4 linked regions of the Danio rerio genome follow. The protein of the gene in region 1 interacts with the protein of each later gene in a pairwise test. Links are inferred from orthologs where the notes say so. Each region holds a gene or a part of one and is shown in the gene's direction. Other genes may lie near its edges.

Region 1 (4,194 bases):
TTTTAGATTACAGATGTTCATTGGTATTTAATGTTAACAGATTTAAATGCAGATTTAAATGCTGATAAAAGCCACCATGTAAAGTGTATTATGCAGTAAATTGCAACATTTAGTTTTTGAATTAGAAAGATTAAGAGATAAATTCTTGTAAAATAAAAGCTAGTCATTTTTTACCTTTTTCTTTTTTTCCCAAAGCATTTATAGACAATACATTTCAGGTTATGTCTTCAGGTTTGGCAGCAGATGTTTTACAGAGATATTTCTCGAATACACAATATTCGGCCTAGCATTGACCTTTCATACCCAAGTCTAACTGTGAGATGAAATATTTTTAAACCTGGCACAGATGTATAAATACGCCTGTTTATTATTATTTTAATATTATTTATGTTGCAGACTTTAGGAAATCTTGTGTCCATCTCTCTGACCGCATGTCACAAGGATCATGTTTGTTTTTTTCGTTCTCCTGTGCAATCAAGCCCTCTGAACTGATCACATTTCCCTCAGACCAGTACGGTGGCTAGATAAGACTCAGGCAGAAACAATTGCTGGAAGCCGAGCATGCAGAGGAGTGGGCTTTTAAGACATCTTATTTTTGAATCTAGTGCCGTGAACACAATAAGAGACTTCACAAACCATTCTGTGTACGCAGCTTGAGCTCTTTCCTTCAGCTCAACAATGACCTCCCCTGTTAAAACAAAAAGCTCAGCGTTATCAGCACATACTTTCTTTGGGGTGAATGAGGTTTTAACTAGCAGAAGGTGATGAATATTATGTTTAAACAATGCTATTATACTATGTAATGGGCCAGACCTTTCAACACGGAAATTCTGAATATCAAAAGAGCAGGCCTAGTTCTCCATTTATCTTAAAATATTATTTAGAGCGCTTGTTTCTGAGGCTTTTATATTTCATTTTTATATTCTATTACTATTTATAATAAAAGTGCATTTAATATAGTGGAAATTGTGCGCTATAATGTAACTAAATATTAAATTTAAGTTTATTTGTACAGAGCTTTTTACAGTAATTATTGTTTCAATGCAGCTTTACAAAAGATGCACATTTTTGCATTACAATCACATAATTGCATTACTTTAATTAAGTAAACCTCAGTTACTTAAGTTACAATCAAATAGCAGTTATTATATACAGACACATGCAATTTTATAGCATATGAGTGATGTCCAAATAGCAAAATGATTGTAGTTGTTAATATTAATGAGGCTGGATTATTAATCTTGGCTTCACCACGCCAAATAAATTGTGTGAACCTGAATGAAATATTTTAGGGAGACATGATGAGTAACAGCAAGTTAAAAACCGTGTGTGAGACACCACCTTGCGGTCACTCAGCGGTATTACACTCCGGCTGAAGCGCGTCCTCGTGCGTGTTTTGGCGGGGAGCGGTCGCGAGGGGCAGCGTTGGTTTTTTTCCAGTCACACAGAAACTTCATACAAAATACAACCTTTTAAAATTACTTCAGATTTTTTAGATACACAAAATATAATATGGAGCAGTTTGCTGTCGAAGTAAAAGGTACGTTTGCGGTAAAAGAAAGATATGTGGTACCAGTCAATTCAATGTATAAAAGATACGCTATTGTGTATTTACTATGAGATGAGCTATTGTGTTTTTTTACAAAACAATTATTTATCTTACATATTTTAAGTGATATTAATATAATGACAAATAACAGTTTCAACTTACCTTTTGTAAGTAATTTAACAGGTTATGTGAAGATATTTCGTGGTTTGACGTTCCTTTCACAGACCTGTCAGAGAAACTCCTCCACAGACAGAGCCATTCAGACTTGGATGAAGTGATTGATTCCCTCTTCAAGGAGATTTTAACTCTAGATGAAGCTGCAAAACTACAGGATTCACAGGTGTGGAAAATACACTTCTTTTGAAATCTACGGAAGCCCCCAGGGATCTTGTAGCGTTGTGTTTTGAAGACATGACGTCTTTATTTTGTTCTCGACATAAATATATATTATTTCGTATTTTAAGTTAACATCTTACACAGAAATCAGGTAATTGTGGTTCAATATTTAATAATTTAGTTGTTTTTGTAGCTGGAGGAAATCGCCATCCAGTTGTGGAACTGGGCTGTCACCAAACGTGTTGGCACCTCAATTACAGAAGAGCAGAAGGCCAAAGGTCTGTCCTTGTATTAGTCTTTTGTTTTATTAACTTTAATATAAATTAGATTTTTTTTTAAATAATAATACATGTATTAATTAGGCCTAATAATTATAATTAATAATGATTTTACTTGCCTGTATTAAGTATCTATTTAATACTGTTGGGGGTTTCAATCTGTAGTCTGGGAAATGTAGAAATGTTTAATAAATTAAAATAATTGGTCAATGTAGTTAATACAATTTTAAACATGTTTAAATTAGCCTTTTATGGACGCACAAATGAACATACTAGCAGGAGCGGACTTAATCAATAATCAAAGTTAGCAGCCGCCTAGGGCCCCAGGGAATTATGGGTCCCTGACCAATGCCAAGAAGCCTATATTAATCATATATCTCGTTTATACATTTTTTAAATCATATGTTGTAAAATCTGTGTATAGAGTCTGTTCAAATAAAATAACATTGCTCAGTGAAAATGAACGGCTGCCGATTCACAAACAGCAATTATTCAGTTAACTTAAATGATCGTGAATTAAATTTGTTAAAACTTTTTTATTTACTTATATCAAAATCTTTTCACCAAAATGGCTCATTTAGTTTAAATAGTTGCAAATTACTTGTTTTTTTTTTTTATTTGTGAATGTATTACATTTAATTTTAAATAAAAAAGAAAAAGCTTCCAGTAAATATAAAAATATAGAAAATATACTTTTTTATATACTTTTTATATATATTTATTTATTTAAATACTTTAACATGCTGTTTATTTACAATAATAATAATCTACAGAGAAAAAAAATGTATAAGAGAATGTTTTGAGTTTCAGTGCTAGGGCCCCATACCCAGAATTGCTTAGGGCCCCTGAATCACTAAATCCAGTATATATTTTAATTTAATGCCATGTCACCAATTAAAGCTATTGTCATGGCAAGAACATTTCAGTTACAAGTATCCAATCAAATATGAACAAAAATTTGTACATAAATTAAATAAGATGTTTAGTGTTTAACCAAGTCTAGTTTTAAAATGTCTTAAAACTTTGCGTGAGATTTTAGGTTGTATTTCATACAATTTGTTATTTTCCAATGCATCCCACTCCTCTTGCCACTTATTTAAAATGTAAACATTGATAAAATGTCTCATCTCTGGCATTTGTTCACCACTTGTTTCAAAGCATCCTTAGCAGCCACATCAGCTCACTCATTTCCTGAAAGTACAAGATGTCCTGGAACCCAATAAAAAATGGTATGACAAAACTGGTTTTGTAGATGGTGAACTTTAGTTAAACATTATCAATGAAAGGATGATCATTTTTTGAAGATTCCGTCACTTGGAGGCATGATTTGGAGTCTGAAAAATTATTCTTTTGTTGGACATTTTCTATATATTCCAAGTAAAAGTAAAGCACAGGCTTCAGCTATGAATATTGAGCATTCTTTTGGCAGACTAATTTCATAACGATGTTCAGCCACCATTACTGCAGCTACGCTCCTTTCCACTTTTGAACAGTCTGTAAAAATTGGTAAGTGTAGAGCAGGTGTGACCAACCCTGTTCCTGAAGTTCGACCTCCCTGCAGATTTCAGTTGCAACCCATATGAAATACACCTGCCTGTAATTATCAAGTGCTGTTCAGGTCCTAATTAATTGGTTCAAGTGTGTTTGATCAGGGTTGGAGCTGAACTTTGCAGGAAGGTCGATATCCAGGAACAGGGTTGAGCACCACTGGTGTCGAGAATATTGGCTTCTACTAGTATAAAGAAGACAAACAATTGTAAAAAAAAAAAAAAAACATAATTTAACGATAGTACAATAATTTTAGTATAAACATTATTAAATTTAATCAATTAATTATGCAAAATGTCAATTAATAGATGCAGATTTTGTTAATATGTTGTTAAAAATAAATAATTATATAAATGTGTATATAGTTAATATATTATAAAATGTGCTAATGCAATAGAGCTATATAATTAATAATATTTTGGACATTTATAGCAACATTTTACAGTACAATTTGTGACTTTTACACAAGAAACCTTAGATGCA
Region 2 (4,295 bases), on another chromosome or scaffold:
CCGGACCCCATGGCTTCTGCTCCGCTCGCTCGCTCTGCTTAATCTGCACGCTGGGAAAAACAATTTGGACTAAACCCATAAATCCCTGCGCGTCAGATGGCACAGATCTGATCCTGCGGCGCTGAATCTGCTCTGTTTGCCATGCGCCGCCCCGAACCAATTCTCCTAATGATGGTGTGTTTGGCATTTGCATTTGCATGGCCAGGTCAGTCGTGTGGAGGATCAACTTCATGACTGTATGCTCTGCAGAAACTGCTTTACTTACTCAGAGTTTCTGTCTTGTGTTTGGTCCAAATATCTTTCAATTCTTTAAGAAAGAAGCATTCTCTAGACCAGCACAGCATATTAAAATCACCAGTCCAGCGCACCTGAAATATAAGTGAAAAAGCCTCTATTGAGATGACTATTGCTGTAAAACAGCAGGATTGTGCAGCGCACTTGTGAAAGTCAGTATTTCAATGGTAATAAAGGCTTTTAAACTTTTATCCTCCTCCTCGAATGCCTTGGAGGTCTGATCTTTTAGAAATCTTTAGATATTTGGACCAGAAACAAGATTAAAAACTCTAAGAAGATCATTTTTGCAGTGTAGAAATGAACTGAAATGGTTCTGAAGTGTTGTGTTGGATCAAGACATCGAGAGCCCCTCTCTCTGTGGACATAAACTGTCCTCTGTGTGGTTCGGATCAATGCAGTGTCCAGAACCCCTTCAGACGCTCCAGATTTCTGCTTCTGGATGACTGATTGACTGATTGACTACACGTGTTGAGCGCTGTGGCAGATGTCTGACAGACTCCACTGCTGCAGGATCTGTTTTATTTTAAGATGTTTCTCTCTGCCTCACGGGTCTGCATGTGTTTCCAGGCTCAGGCTCCATCTTTAAACACTCCCTCATTCACATTAACACGCGTGTGTTGGGGTTCACAGTAGCCGTTTTCAAGCTTCCTATAATGTGTTGAGCAGAGAAACTGGCGTGAATGCAGCTGAGCAGATGACACACACACATCACTGAGCAGATGACACACACACACATCACTGAGATGTCTGTTTGATGTTTGTGCTTACACAAATCTACTAGACATCAGTAAAAAGTCATTTGTGTCTTGAAGTGAATATTTTCAAAGTTCTCAAAAGTGTGAATACTTTAAAAAACATTAAATAATCGAATTACCTCATTTAAAACAAATAAGTTCTGCGTTTAATCAGGATCTGTCCACATGAGGTGTAGCGCAGCGCGCCACTGGGCGGCGTTCCTGATGTTTTGATTCGTCACGTGACAAGCAGAACGGTTAGAAAGTAACATCAGTAAATGTCCTGCTAAATTATTTATATCGACTAAACGTGTAATTCAATTGATAGTGTATCGGAGATCTTAATCTGTCGATTTTAAACGCAGCCTTGCCGCAGTTTTTATTCAAAGAGCGCTTGTTTTTAGGTGACTCTTATTCTGACATGTTTTGACGCGTCGCTGTTTCCGTCAGTTCCGTCATTCACACACTTTCAAACATGGAGTCTATATTCCACGAAAAAGTAAGAATCGCTTTCAGATAATGCTGTGTATGAGTGATGTGTAGATGATCTGGGAGAGCTTCTCCTGCAGGAGGGCAGATCTGTCGAGTTCAGTCTGCTGCTCCGGCTTGATATCTCTGAGGCGCTCGTGGACTTTTATCGAGTGTCAACATCCGACACGGGCAGACAGACAGTCCAGCACATGTGTGTTTACCGCCAGAGCGGCTCCTCTTCACTGCTGCACTCCGCCACACAGCGCTGTAGAGGAGGACACTGAGCCTGTAGACTGAGGGAGTGCTGGAGAGTGTGTCTGAGCTGAAGGAAACACGACATGAGCAGAGTTTACACGACGAGGATGATATGTGTGTGTGTGGTGTGTGTGTGTGTGTGTGTGTGTGTGGTGTGTGTGTGTGTGTGTGTGTGTGTGTGTGTGTGTGTGTGTGTGTGTTGTGAAAGAGTTTGTGAGTGAGTGAAACAAAGAAAGAAATGTAGAGTCTGAGTGAGAGTGTGTGTGTAAGAGAGCAAGAAAGTGTGTGTTTATGTTTGTTGACAAAGAGTGTGTAGTGTATGTGTGAAACAGATTTTGTGTGTGTGTGTGTGTGTGTGTTACAGTAGGAGTACTCTGTGCAGCATGATGATGATGATGATGATGATCATGGTGTGTGTGTGTGTTACAGCAGGAGGATGATGATGATGATGATGATGATGATGTTGATGTTGTTGTGTGTTTACTGTGTGTATGTGTGTGTGTGTTACAGCAGGAGGGCTCTCTGTGCGCGCAGCACTGCCTGAATAACCTGCTGCAGGGCGAGTACTTCAGCCCGGTGGAGCTCTCCTCTATAGCACAGCAGCTGGACGAGGAGGAGCGCATGCGCATGGCGGAGGGAGGAGTGCAGACGGAGGAGTACCGCACATTCCTGCAGGTACACACTCACACACACACACACACACACACACACTCACACACAGAGCTCAGGGTCTCAGTGTAACCTGCTGTGTTCTGTGTGTGCAGCAGCCGTCAGGGAACATGGACGACAGCGGCTTCTTCTCCATCCAGGTCAGTCATAGTTACCCGTTACTCCTCACAAACACTACAACAACAAATCAGACAAAGCTGCTGGGACAGACGGAAAACACGAACCCTCTGCTGTCATTCAGACTGCAGAAACAGGGCGGTGATCAGGTGATCTGCTGGATGATGATGTGATGTCCACAGGTGATGGTGATGGTGATCTGCTCATCAGGAAAGCTCTAGTGCTTTAGGAGCAGAGATGAGTCGAGGATCTCCAGTTTGAGCACAGATATGAGAGAATATGAGTGAAGTGTGTGAACACAATGATCCTCAGAGGAAGACATGTGGAGATTTCACCTTCAGCAGTGCAGAACAGCATTAAAGACTGAAGGAGTCTGGAGGAAGCCCTATGTTAACAGTGTCCAGCAGCGCTTCTCTAGGCTCTGGGCGTCTGGGATGGAGCATCACACAGTGGAGACGTGTCCTGTGCTCAGATGAAGCAGAGTTTCAGGTGTTTCTGGGAGAAATGGACGCCGTGTGCTCCAGACCACAGAAGAAGAGGATCATCCAGACTGACACCAGCAGCAGGCCGGCTCTGTCATGGTCTGGGGTTGTGTCGGTGCTCTGGGCAGAGGTGACCTGCTCTTCTGTGATGCTCCAGTAATGCTGAACAGCACAGAGAGATTCTGGACCCGCATTACAGAGTCCTGCTGCGGAGGAAGAGGAGACAGACACTGGACTGGCCTGCCTGCAGCCCCGACCTGTCTCCAATAGAGAATGTGTGGCATGAAGAGCCCGTACTGTTGCCCACATTAAGACTGGTTTGTCTTTAGTGCATAAACAGCTTACCAGTGTGGTGAAGAGGAACAGCAGCAGCAGCAGCAGCACACACTGCTGAACGCTTCACTGACACGGCTCACTCTGACATGTGCTGCAGAAACCAACACTGGAATACGTGGAAAACAAACGATGATGATGATGATGATGAACACATGAATTAAATGTTTATAGAGACCTGTGTGTGTTTGTGTGTGTGTGTGTGTGTGTGTGTGTGTGTGTGTGTGCAGGTGATCAGCAATGCTCTGGGTGTGTGGGGTCTGGAGATCGTCCTCTTCAACAGCAGAGAGTACCAGCAGCTGCAGATGGACCCCATGTGAGTGTGTGAGCGCTGTATCCTCTATGTGTGTGTGTGTGTGTGTGTGTGTGTGTCTCCTCTGCACACACTCATCCTCCTCTGCTGTCTTTCAGGCATGAGAAGGCCTTCATCTGCAACTATAAGGAGCACTGGTTCACCGTGCGCAAGCTGGGACAGCAGGTGTGTGTGTGTGTGTGTGTGTGTGTGTTCAGGGTCAGAAAGGTGTGTGTTTGTTGACTCTTTCTTTCTCTCTCTGTGTGTTTGTGTGTGTGTCAGTGGTTTAACCTGAACTCTCTGCTGACGGGTCCGGAGCTGATCTCAGACACATACCTGGCCCTGTTCCTCGCACAGCTGCAGCAGGAGGGTAACACTCATTATCGTGTGTGTGTGTGTGTGTGTGTGTGTGTGTGTGTGTGTGTGTGTGTGTGTGTCCGCTTCAGCGCTGCTCTTGTCCTCCTGCAGGTTACTCTATATTTGTGATTCGGGGGAATCTGCCGGAGTGTGAAGCGGATCAGATCCTGCGCATCATGAGGGTGGAGCAGCAGCAGCGGCCCAAGCTGATCGGAGAGGAGGAGACGCAGAGGTACACACACACACACACACACACACACACACACACACACACACACACACACACACACA
Region 3 (4,201 bases), on another chromosome or scaffold:
TTATTTAAGTCCTACAAAATTCATAAAAATGTTGTGCTGTAGGTCCTACAGCACAACATTTTTATGAATTTTGTTTTGGAAATTTAAGACATTAAGATCCAGCGGACACCCTGTTCATAGTCATTTTAATTAAATCATTACTTCACACATAAAAACCATGAACAAATACCATTTACTGTAAAAACAGATATATGCCTACATGACCACAACTAAAATCAGTAAATGTTTGTTTGCACACAGATTATAACACAAACTGGAATCCTAAAACTGATCATGATACAGTTTCATACTCAAAGTGCACTTTAAATTATGTAAATAAACTTAATAAACCTTCAAAATAAATAGTTTCCCTATTTCATGGTTCAAATAGCATTTAAAAACAGGAACAGTTTTCAGCTATCATAACATTAACACTGTACCAACCGTCCAGGGGTGGATTTAACCAATTAGCAAGGTAAGCGGATGCTTAGGGCCCCAGGAAATCTGAGGGCCCCTAAATAAATACCTAGAAGTGTAAATTGTATCTATAAATTATTTTTAACATCGTTTACAATCATATTTTTTATAGCGACGGTCTAAAAAAATAAAAGCTTAATTTTTATTACTTCTGCGCAAATGTTTCCCCCCACCCTCAATCATGGAGCAGTCCAGCAGTCAAATTAGGTAAGGGTTTAGTTTAAAAACGTAATAATTTTTTTTATATATATTTAAAATTTATTTGTAATTGAAACTATAAAAAATTATATTTATTTTAGTTGTGAATAAACTTAAAAAAGACAAATCATTTAGATTCTATACACGCATTTTTTATTTTTATTTTTGCATTAAGACAAAATATAGAAAAGGAGATTGAGTGACATAAGAAAAAAGCAAAATAAATCAATTAAGAATAAATTAAAGTACAAACTTTTGGGCCCCATAGCTGGAATTGCTTAGGGCCCCCAAATCACTGACTCCGCCCCTGCAACCATCATAATATAGTTTCCTACCCAAAGTCCATTTTTAATTATGTAAATATAAACCTTTACACGTATAAACATTTTCTTATTTGCATTGCTGTTATTTCACGGTTCTTATTCGTTTAATAGTCAAAGGCACGAGCTGTTGGCCAAAAACCAACCATCATAACATTAATACTATAATAATAACTATCCAAAGTGCACTTTAAATTATGTAAACAGATGACATATAAACTTAAAAACATTTTTTCTATTTTCATCGCTATTATTTCACGGCTCAAATTCGTATAACATTTAAAGGCACAAGCTGCTGGACAAAAACCAACCATCAAAATATTGAGGCAAATACCGTAAACACACACTCCTTCACGTGGGCGTCCACACACGCCTCAACTCTCGGCTCTTTCCCTGTTCCGCGGTTTCCGATTCTGCGCAGTGGAGCCCGCTCCGCCTCAGCTGAGCTTTTTGAGAGTTGTGCGGAAAAAAAAACTGATGAAGTCCAGAAAACTTGTAGCAAAGTAGCGATAAGAGCAGCGATGAGTGTACCAGCCGTCGACAACACCGTGTCATCGGGCAATGCTTCGGTCGCGATCCCTGCTGACATGAGCGGGCAAATGTTAGATCTAGATGAAGACGATGACTTGGAAGTTTTCAGTAAGGTAATCAAACATCAACTGGTTAAAACAGAGATTGATCGCAGACACATAACTAGAGTTTATATCTTTTGATTCTACTTTATACGTGACTAATCAAACCTCTCTGTCGTTTTCTCACTGAATCAGTGTGTTTTGCTGAGATATGAAGTTTCAAAGGTCAGCGATCAGGCGCTGTCAAGCCATGTTTTTTTCCCTTAAAAAACTCCAGCGTAGTTTTTACTGTTGGTTTCTGGTTGACCTCACTGCTTTAAACGCCATTTGATGCCATTTTAAATAAATAAACCTCATCTAATTAAGTACAGATACAGCTGTGTTTGTTTCACTGACACTGATCTTATCTGTCTAGTAACGTAGTGAGTCATTCAATGTCTAGTAACTAGTACAGTTCAGTGGTTCCCAAAGTGGGGTCACAGAGGTAAAATCGGATTTATATTCGCACATTCGGATTTTCCCCTTAATAATATAATTTAATAAAAATATTATTTGCAGGCTCTAAATAGCGAAATCATATTAGCAACAATGACTATCAAAGTACAGCATTGTTCACAGTCAAATAAACAGTGTTTATGTTGTTTTCAAGTCGTACTATACGGTGATTTTAGACCGAATATTCAAAGTACCATTGTAAACAATATAGGGAGTGTGTCAGAAGTTGTCACTGAATAAATGTGTGAATAATGTTTTGAAGCCATACTTAAATTTCAGAGCCAATATTCAAATTAGCATGGTAAACAATATAGGGACCGTTAAAATTAAGAATGTGATTTTATTTTTAAACTTTACCTGAATTCTGCAAACTTGGAAGTACACCCTATTAACAAATTGGCTGAAGACCTTATAAATGCCTACTTTGACAGTCACCCAGAGATGCTAGCAAGCATGCAGGACACATAGCAAGTGGTCAGAATGTTATATCAATGCTTAGCAACACTTAAAACACCCTGGCAACACCCAACAAGAAGTTAGAACATCAACTGCTTGGCAATAGTTAGTTTACCCCACAAAAGAAAGAAAGAAAAACTAAGTAAAAATTAAGTTGAATACAAAAAAATGTGTTAGAGTTTTGGTAACCTACTACAGATGCCATTTGCTAAAAGTTTCCAACATTGTTCAAAGTAAAAACCTCATTTGCGCTCAACAGAATAAATAAACTCAAACGTGTTTGGAACCACTTGAGGTAGGTAAATGATGACAGTGTGTTAATTTTTTTGGTGAGCTAATAGCTAGCAATTCCAAGAAAGTAGTCAAATCCTATTTACACCTAACAACAGTTAACACCTTAGAAACTAGACAGAACACTCTAGCAACACTTAGAACACCCTATCAATAATATAAACACCCTAACACCTAGAAAGAGCACCCTAGCTACGCTTGATAAATAGAGCAAGTAGTTAGGGCAGCTAGCAAAGCTAAGTAGATAGTGCACCCTAAGAAAAGCGTAGCAAACACCCTAGAAAAACAACTGATTAATGCTTAGTAATCATTAAATCACCATAACAGCTAGGCAGAATACTGTAATAACACAGAGCAAGCATCAAAAATGCTATACCAATGCATAATGTTAAAACACCCTAACAACAATTCAGATCGCTTAACCAAAAGCGGTAAACGATTTCAAACTTTCAGGCATGTTAGACTTGATGAGCATTCAAGTTTTTTACAGCTACCACAACAACATTTTTTATTTATTTATTTATTTATTTATTTATTTATTTATTTATTTATTTATTACATTTAAGCACAATACAATGTATCCAAAGTGCTGTGCACAGCTAGTGTAGTAGTTCACATTAGCAATGGTTGTTATGAATGAAAGTGGGATGTTTGTAGGGTAAAGCAGCAGTGGCGTTTCTGCTGACTATGGACCGGTTTGTTATGACAGGAAACAGACGCACAGGCTTCTTTCCCAGCAGCTGTGGCTGAACGAGAGGGATTTGCATGCGTGTGTGTTTGGCCAAGGAAAAGATAGCCAAACACTATGAAAATCTGTTTTTTTACTGTGATCAAAATACGACAGCTTGCAAAGCAAGTTTAAGGAAATGATATGTATGGTATAATGATGTACTCTTGAAATGACATCACGTAGGTGTTTGGTGGTTTAGCAACAATTAGAGAACCATTTATTATGGTGAGTTTAAGATAATTACAATGTGTGGAAAGTTGGAACATTATAAAAAATGTCTATGCATCTGTGGTGTAAAGTAACAAATTACAAAAACCCAAACTACTGTAATTGAGTAGTTTTTCTCAGAAATTGTAATTTACCAAGTAGTTTTAAAAATGTGGACTTTTACTTTCTCTTGAGTGTATTTTTAATGTAATGTTGGTACTTTTACTCCACTACTTCCACCTGCAGTCACTACTTATTTTTTTCCTGTCTATATACACTATAAAAAAAATATAAAGCTAAGTTAACTTAAAATTGTAAAGCAACCGGCTGCAAAGAAATTTTGAGTTTAAGCTTCAGTGGTTAAAGTTGTGCCAATTCAATTTTTTTTTTAAGTTGACTGAAACGATTGTTTTAAGTCAAGCATACTTTTTAAAATAATTTGGCACAACTTCAACCACTTAAGCTTAAAAAAAATT
Region 4 (4,223 bases), on another chromosome or scaffold:
TTTGATCTAAATTGAGCGCAGAGGTGCAATGTCACTTTGCAGAACAGTTCATGTCTACAGCTGTGCGGTAATTCTGTCTTGGAAATAAAGGGTTTTAATGGGATGTTTTATAAAAGCCTCTTACACCACGACTGAACCAAATCATAACTGTCTACAATAAACGTGGGGTCAGGCTGAGGTTTCTTCCTCTCCAGAGACAGCTGGGCAGTTACATTGTCTTCCACTGTTGTGCAAAAGCCTCTTACACACAGACAGAAGCACTAAGTTGCCAGAACTGTCATTAAATATTGCAGTCAGTGCTGCCCTCCAAAGGCCAAAGCTGCATTAAACCTGCAGTCTTCAAACTAGTCTTCTATGTCTCTAATAACCATGAGGATACAAAATTAAGAGACACAAAACATTTGAATTATTTCTATAAGTTATACAATTTAGTAACTTCTTTAACACTGCTACTGATCTACAACAGGGGTGTCCAAACTCAATCCTGGAGGGCCGATGTCCTGCAAAGTTTAGTTCCAACCCCAATCAGACACACCTTAGCTAGGTAATCAAGCTCTTACTAGGCTTTCTAGAAACATCCATGCAGGTGTGTTGAGGCAAGTTGGAGCTAAATCCTGCAGGACACCGGCCCTCCAGTACCGAGTTTGGACATACCTGATTTACAAATTAAACTACAGATTTTCTAATGATAAAACATATATTTCAAAAGTATGTAAAATGTACTTGAAACAATTATTAGTGTAAAATTGACTTTTTTGATTGTATTACTGCAATGTTTTATACTCTGCATGCTTTATTTATCATTTACATCTTTCTCTTCATGTTATACATAATCATTCTTTTGTAAATGAAAATGTATTCAAAAAGAATGCTACTATAAAATAATCTACAAGTTTTTGTCTTAAAATCAGTGAAATATGTTTAAGTAATGTTTATGTGGCCAATAAATGATATAGCCTTTATCTCTGTGGAAATTTACTTTAATTTTACATGTTAGTTACTTTATTTGCTTTATATGCTTTTTTATTTTCTTAAAGATTGAACGTTTCTGTTATGTCAGTTTTATTTAAAAAATGAATTTATCTGTTAAACAATTGTGTCTAAACAATTATATTTACGTGATATAATATCTAATGTAAACAAGTATGTTTAGAACAGAACGAAAATGGCTATTTATTTATTTATTTATTTATTTATCTATTTATTTATTTATATATATATACCTACCTCTTATTGGGAGATGAGCAAATCGTACTAAAATGTACAAAGTACTAAAAGTTACAAAAGGCAGATTGCGTTGGACATCCCACAATGCGCTTGACGTAGTTTCAACTGAAAGAACTACAAGTTCCATAAAAACGATTTTCATAAAGAGTGCAGCTTCCGCGCAACTCCACCATCGTCCAATCAGATCCCACGCCCTTCACGTAAGCCCCTCCCCCGCCAGCTTGTGTTTTTTCCTCCCCTTCAGTTCTCCGCTGCCCGCGACGCCATATTGCCGAAAAACACCCTTTCTCTGAAACCTCCGAAAAACCATCTCCGCCAGAATGTTGTACCTTGAGGACTACCTCGAAAGTGAGTAAAACAGCTCTTTTATCTATATATGTTCGTATTATCGTAAGTAGGTGTTTTAGAGGGTGGTTTAGGGCGTGTTTTGCTGTCACATCCGTTAGCTTGTAACGCGGTTGTTCTTCTTCCCGGCAGTGATCGAGCAGCTACCCATGGATCTCCGCGACAGGTTTACGGAAATGAGAGAGATGGACCTGCAAGTGCAGAGTACGGTTTCAGTTTAAACTCACTTTTGTGCCTTAGAACACCACAGCTGACTTAAACTAACGTAAAGAGCCTTTCATATCAGTGGAGATCTGTTTGGTGAATTTGCAAGCATAATAAAAGCATGCATGTGTTGTGATGTTGCACACTGATGTTAAGTGCAATTAGAGCATGTGGAAGTTGAGTAACACCAGTGTCACCTAAACCAGGGAAAACTTAGGATACATTATTGCATTGAAATGCATTTTTTTGGTCACCCCAAGTAATTTAGAGTCTGACAGTGCCCCCATTGACAAGATTTTGATTGTCTTCATCACACGGGAACACAGTTTACTTATAGCAAATGCATGTATTTGTTAACAGATTAAGGTTTTGCATCAACCATAAACATGCATAGGTACTCATTCTAGTTAGAAATGTATATATTTCTAATTAAATCATTTTTACAAAACAGTTATCACAAAGACATTTCTTCTTGGAAATGTTATAGACAGTTTTCATTACATGTAATTTCCCGGTTACATTTCCCACCAAAATCATAAGGAAAGACTAATATTATTAAATCAATGTTTATATGTGTATATTCAAGTCTAGTTTTGTAGTTATAATTAAGATAAACCTAATTTACATCAGTTAAATATTTTTATATTATATAGTTTTAAATAATTTCATTTTATTTTGTGGTGATTGGGATCTGGATATTTTTCCACAGCTTTAGCAGTGATTCATGAATCACCCTTTGTAGGGGTTGCACCTACAGCCTTTTAATGATCTACTGAGATCTTTAACCAACCATAGACTTCCACAGTCGCCATCTGTGTGGTTGTGAGCCAAGTCGGGCTCTTGACTTCACTTTTGATCATGTTCCTTTGTTCAGATGCGATGGATCAGCTTGAGCAGCGGGTCAATGAGTTTTTTACTAATGCCAAGAAGAACAAGCCTGAATGGAGGGAAGAACAGATGGAAATCATCAAAAAGGTAAAGAACAGATGATGTGCACTTCAGTCGAACTGAGTGTTCTGCAGGTGATAATAATGTAGTATGAGATCTTTTAATGTTGATAATGCTTTTCCTTATTTGAACCATCAGTGTTTTTGGGTTGGACACTTTTTATTGACTCTTTTCAAAATTTAAATTAAACAAAAGGGGGGGAAAAGCAATATATGACATTTTAAAATGAATGGATATTAAATATTACAACCACACTTTACAATACAGTTCCAGTATAGTTAATTTATTTATTACCATTAACTAAGGATGAACAATATTTGCATATTATGAATTAATCATAGTCCTACGTTTAGTAATGTGTTATTAAAATCCATGCTTTTGCTTGTTAACATTAGTTAATCAACTGAGTTACCAAGTACTAGCAATAAACAATTGTATTTTATGTTAAAAAAGATGAATAAATACTGTAATAAATATATTGCTTATTATTTGTTAATGTTAGTAAGTAATTGCATTAGCTAATGTTTTCCAATGCAATCTTATTGTGAAGTGTTACCCATATTGTTTACTCCCGGAATCAGCTGCAAAATATATTGAACAATAAAAATTATATTGCAATTTAATTTAATAAAACATCTAAACTACATTCTAAGTGAAGCACAACATTTGCTTAACTGATATAATAAAGTTTGTATGTATAAGATGAGATCTTTACGCTGAAACTGACAGTGCATATTTTTTGTTACTAGCAAGATATGATATATTATTTTTTTGTTTTTATTTCATTTGTTATTCAATATTTTCCTTATTTTCATTATTATTTTTTAAATTGCATAATGATGAAATAATGATGAAATCATGATGAAACAACTGCTGGTTAAGTCATAACAATGATTGATAAAAAATTAATAATGGATAGTTTTGCATTAGAAGATAATATGCTTTCCTAATGATCTCTTTCTGTTTACCAGGACTACTATAAAGCTTTAGAAGATGCGGATGAAAAGGTCCAATTAGCCAATCAAATTTATGACCTGGTGAGTAATTTACTGTAACTAGCAACACTAGCCTTTGTGTCAGTACTGTATGGTCCCAGTAGGTGGCAGCACATCACTAATAGTAAAAAGCCAATGGATTTCTGGGAAGCTTTTTTGTTTGCTATTTAAATGCATACTAATGCTTTTTCGTGAGATTTAATAGACGTTTTTAAATACATTTTTCCTAATGAGAAGTGACATTTGAACTTGTGTGTGGGTTTGTGTAATCCGTTGTGTGTTGATCTTGTGCCTCTTATGTAGGTTGATAGACATTTACGGAAGTTGGATCAGGAGTTGGCAAAGTTTAAAATGGAGTTGGAAGCAGATAACGCTGGCATCACAGAGATCCTGGAAAGACGTGAGTGACGCCTCTCAATCACCTTTTTTACAGATAACTGGCTAATTTCAAAAGATAAAAAAGGTAGGAGTTGGCAAGTTTTTAAAATCAGTGTAAATCATTTA

Evidence for each region. The genes of interacting proteins can lie anywhere in the genome.
Region 2: the proteins of tex11 (region 1) and atxn3 interact in binary tests that used the Homo sapiens proteins (3 or more experiments, as listed by UniProt). The link is inferred for Danio rerio from reciprocal best matches to the Homo sapiens genes TEX11 and ATXN3.
Region 3: the proteins of tex11 (region 1) and snx7 interact in binary tests that used the Homo sapiens proteins (3 or more experiments, as listed by UniProt). The two-hybrid records come from large-scale screens. The link is inferred for Danio rerio from reciprocal best matches to the Homo sapiens genes TEX11 and SNX7.
Region 4: the proteins of tex11 (region 1) and ing3 interact in a two-hybrid assay, tested with the Homo sapiens proteins (2 studies listed by BioGRID). The two-hybrid records come from large-scale screens. The link is inferred for Danio rerio from reciprocal best matches to the Homo sapiens genes TEX11 and ING3.

The regions. Positions count from the first base shown.
Region 1 is NC_133189.1:37,595,490-37,599,683, forward strand, and holds the start of tex11 (testis-expressed protein 11), read left to right. Parts: upstream 1-1,389; 5' UTR 1,390-1,512; coding exon 1,513-1,540; intron 1,541-1,711; exon of another isoform or gene 1,712-1,773; coding exon 1,774-1,889; exon of another isoform or gene 1,890-1,944; intron 1,945-2,078; coding exon 2,079-2,163; intron 2,164-4,194. UniProt on the Homo sapiens protein: Regulator of crossing-over during meiosis. Involved in initiation and/or maintenance of chromosome synapsis and formation of crossovers.
Region 2 is NC_133192.1:59,465,277-59,469,571, forward strand, and holds the start of atxn3 (ataxin-3), read left to right. Parts: upstream 1-1,485; 5' UTR 1,486-1,503; coding exon of another isoform or gene 1,504-1,527; 5' UTR 1,528-1,837; coding exon 1,838-1,870; intron 1,871-2,264; coding exon 2,265-2,429; intron 2,430-2,518; coding exon 2,519-2,563; intron 2,564-3,585; coding exon 3,586-3,671; intron 3,672-3,766; coding exon 3,767-3,833; intron 3,834-3,929; coding exon 3,930-4,017; intron 4,018-4,115; coding exon 4,116-4,236; intron 4,237-4,295. Other genes in the region: gamma-aminobutyric acid receptor subunit rho-1, read right to left, coding at 1-232. UniProt on the Homo sapiens protein: Deubiquitinating enzyme involved in protein homeostasis maintenance, transcription, cytoskeleton regulation, myogenesis and degradation of misfolded chaperone substrates.
Region 3 is NC_133199.1:34,413,205-34,417,405, reverse strand, and holds the start of snx7 (sorting nexin-7), read left to right. Parts: upstream 1-1,391; 5' UTR 1,392-1,495; coding exon 1,496-1,618; intron 1,619-4,201. UniProt on the Homo sapiens protein: Involved in the regulation of endocytosis and in several stages of intracellular trafficking. Together with SNX4, involved in autophagosome assembly by regulating trafficking and recycling of phospholipid scramblase ATG9A.
Region 4 is NC_133179.1:11,169,875-11,174,097, forward strand, and holds the start of ing3 (inhibitor of growth protein 3), read left to right. Parts: upstream 1-1,413; 5' UTR 1,414-1,547; coding exon 1,548-1,575; intron 1,576-1,704; coding exon 1,705-1,776; intron 1,777-2,650; coding exon 2,651-2,751; intron 2,752-3,695; coding exon 3,696-3,761; intron 3,762-4,022; coding exon 4,023-4,119; intron 4,120-4,223. UniProt on the Homo sapiens protein: Component of the NuA4 histone acetyltransferase (HAT) complex which is involved in transcriptional activation of select genes principally by acetylation of nucleosomal histones H4 and H2A.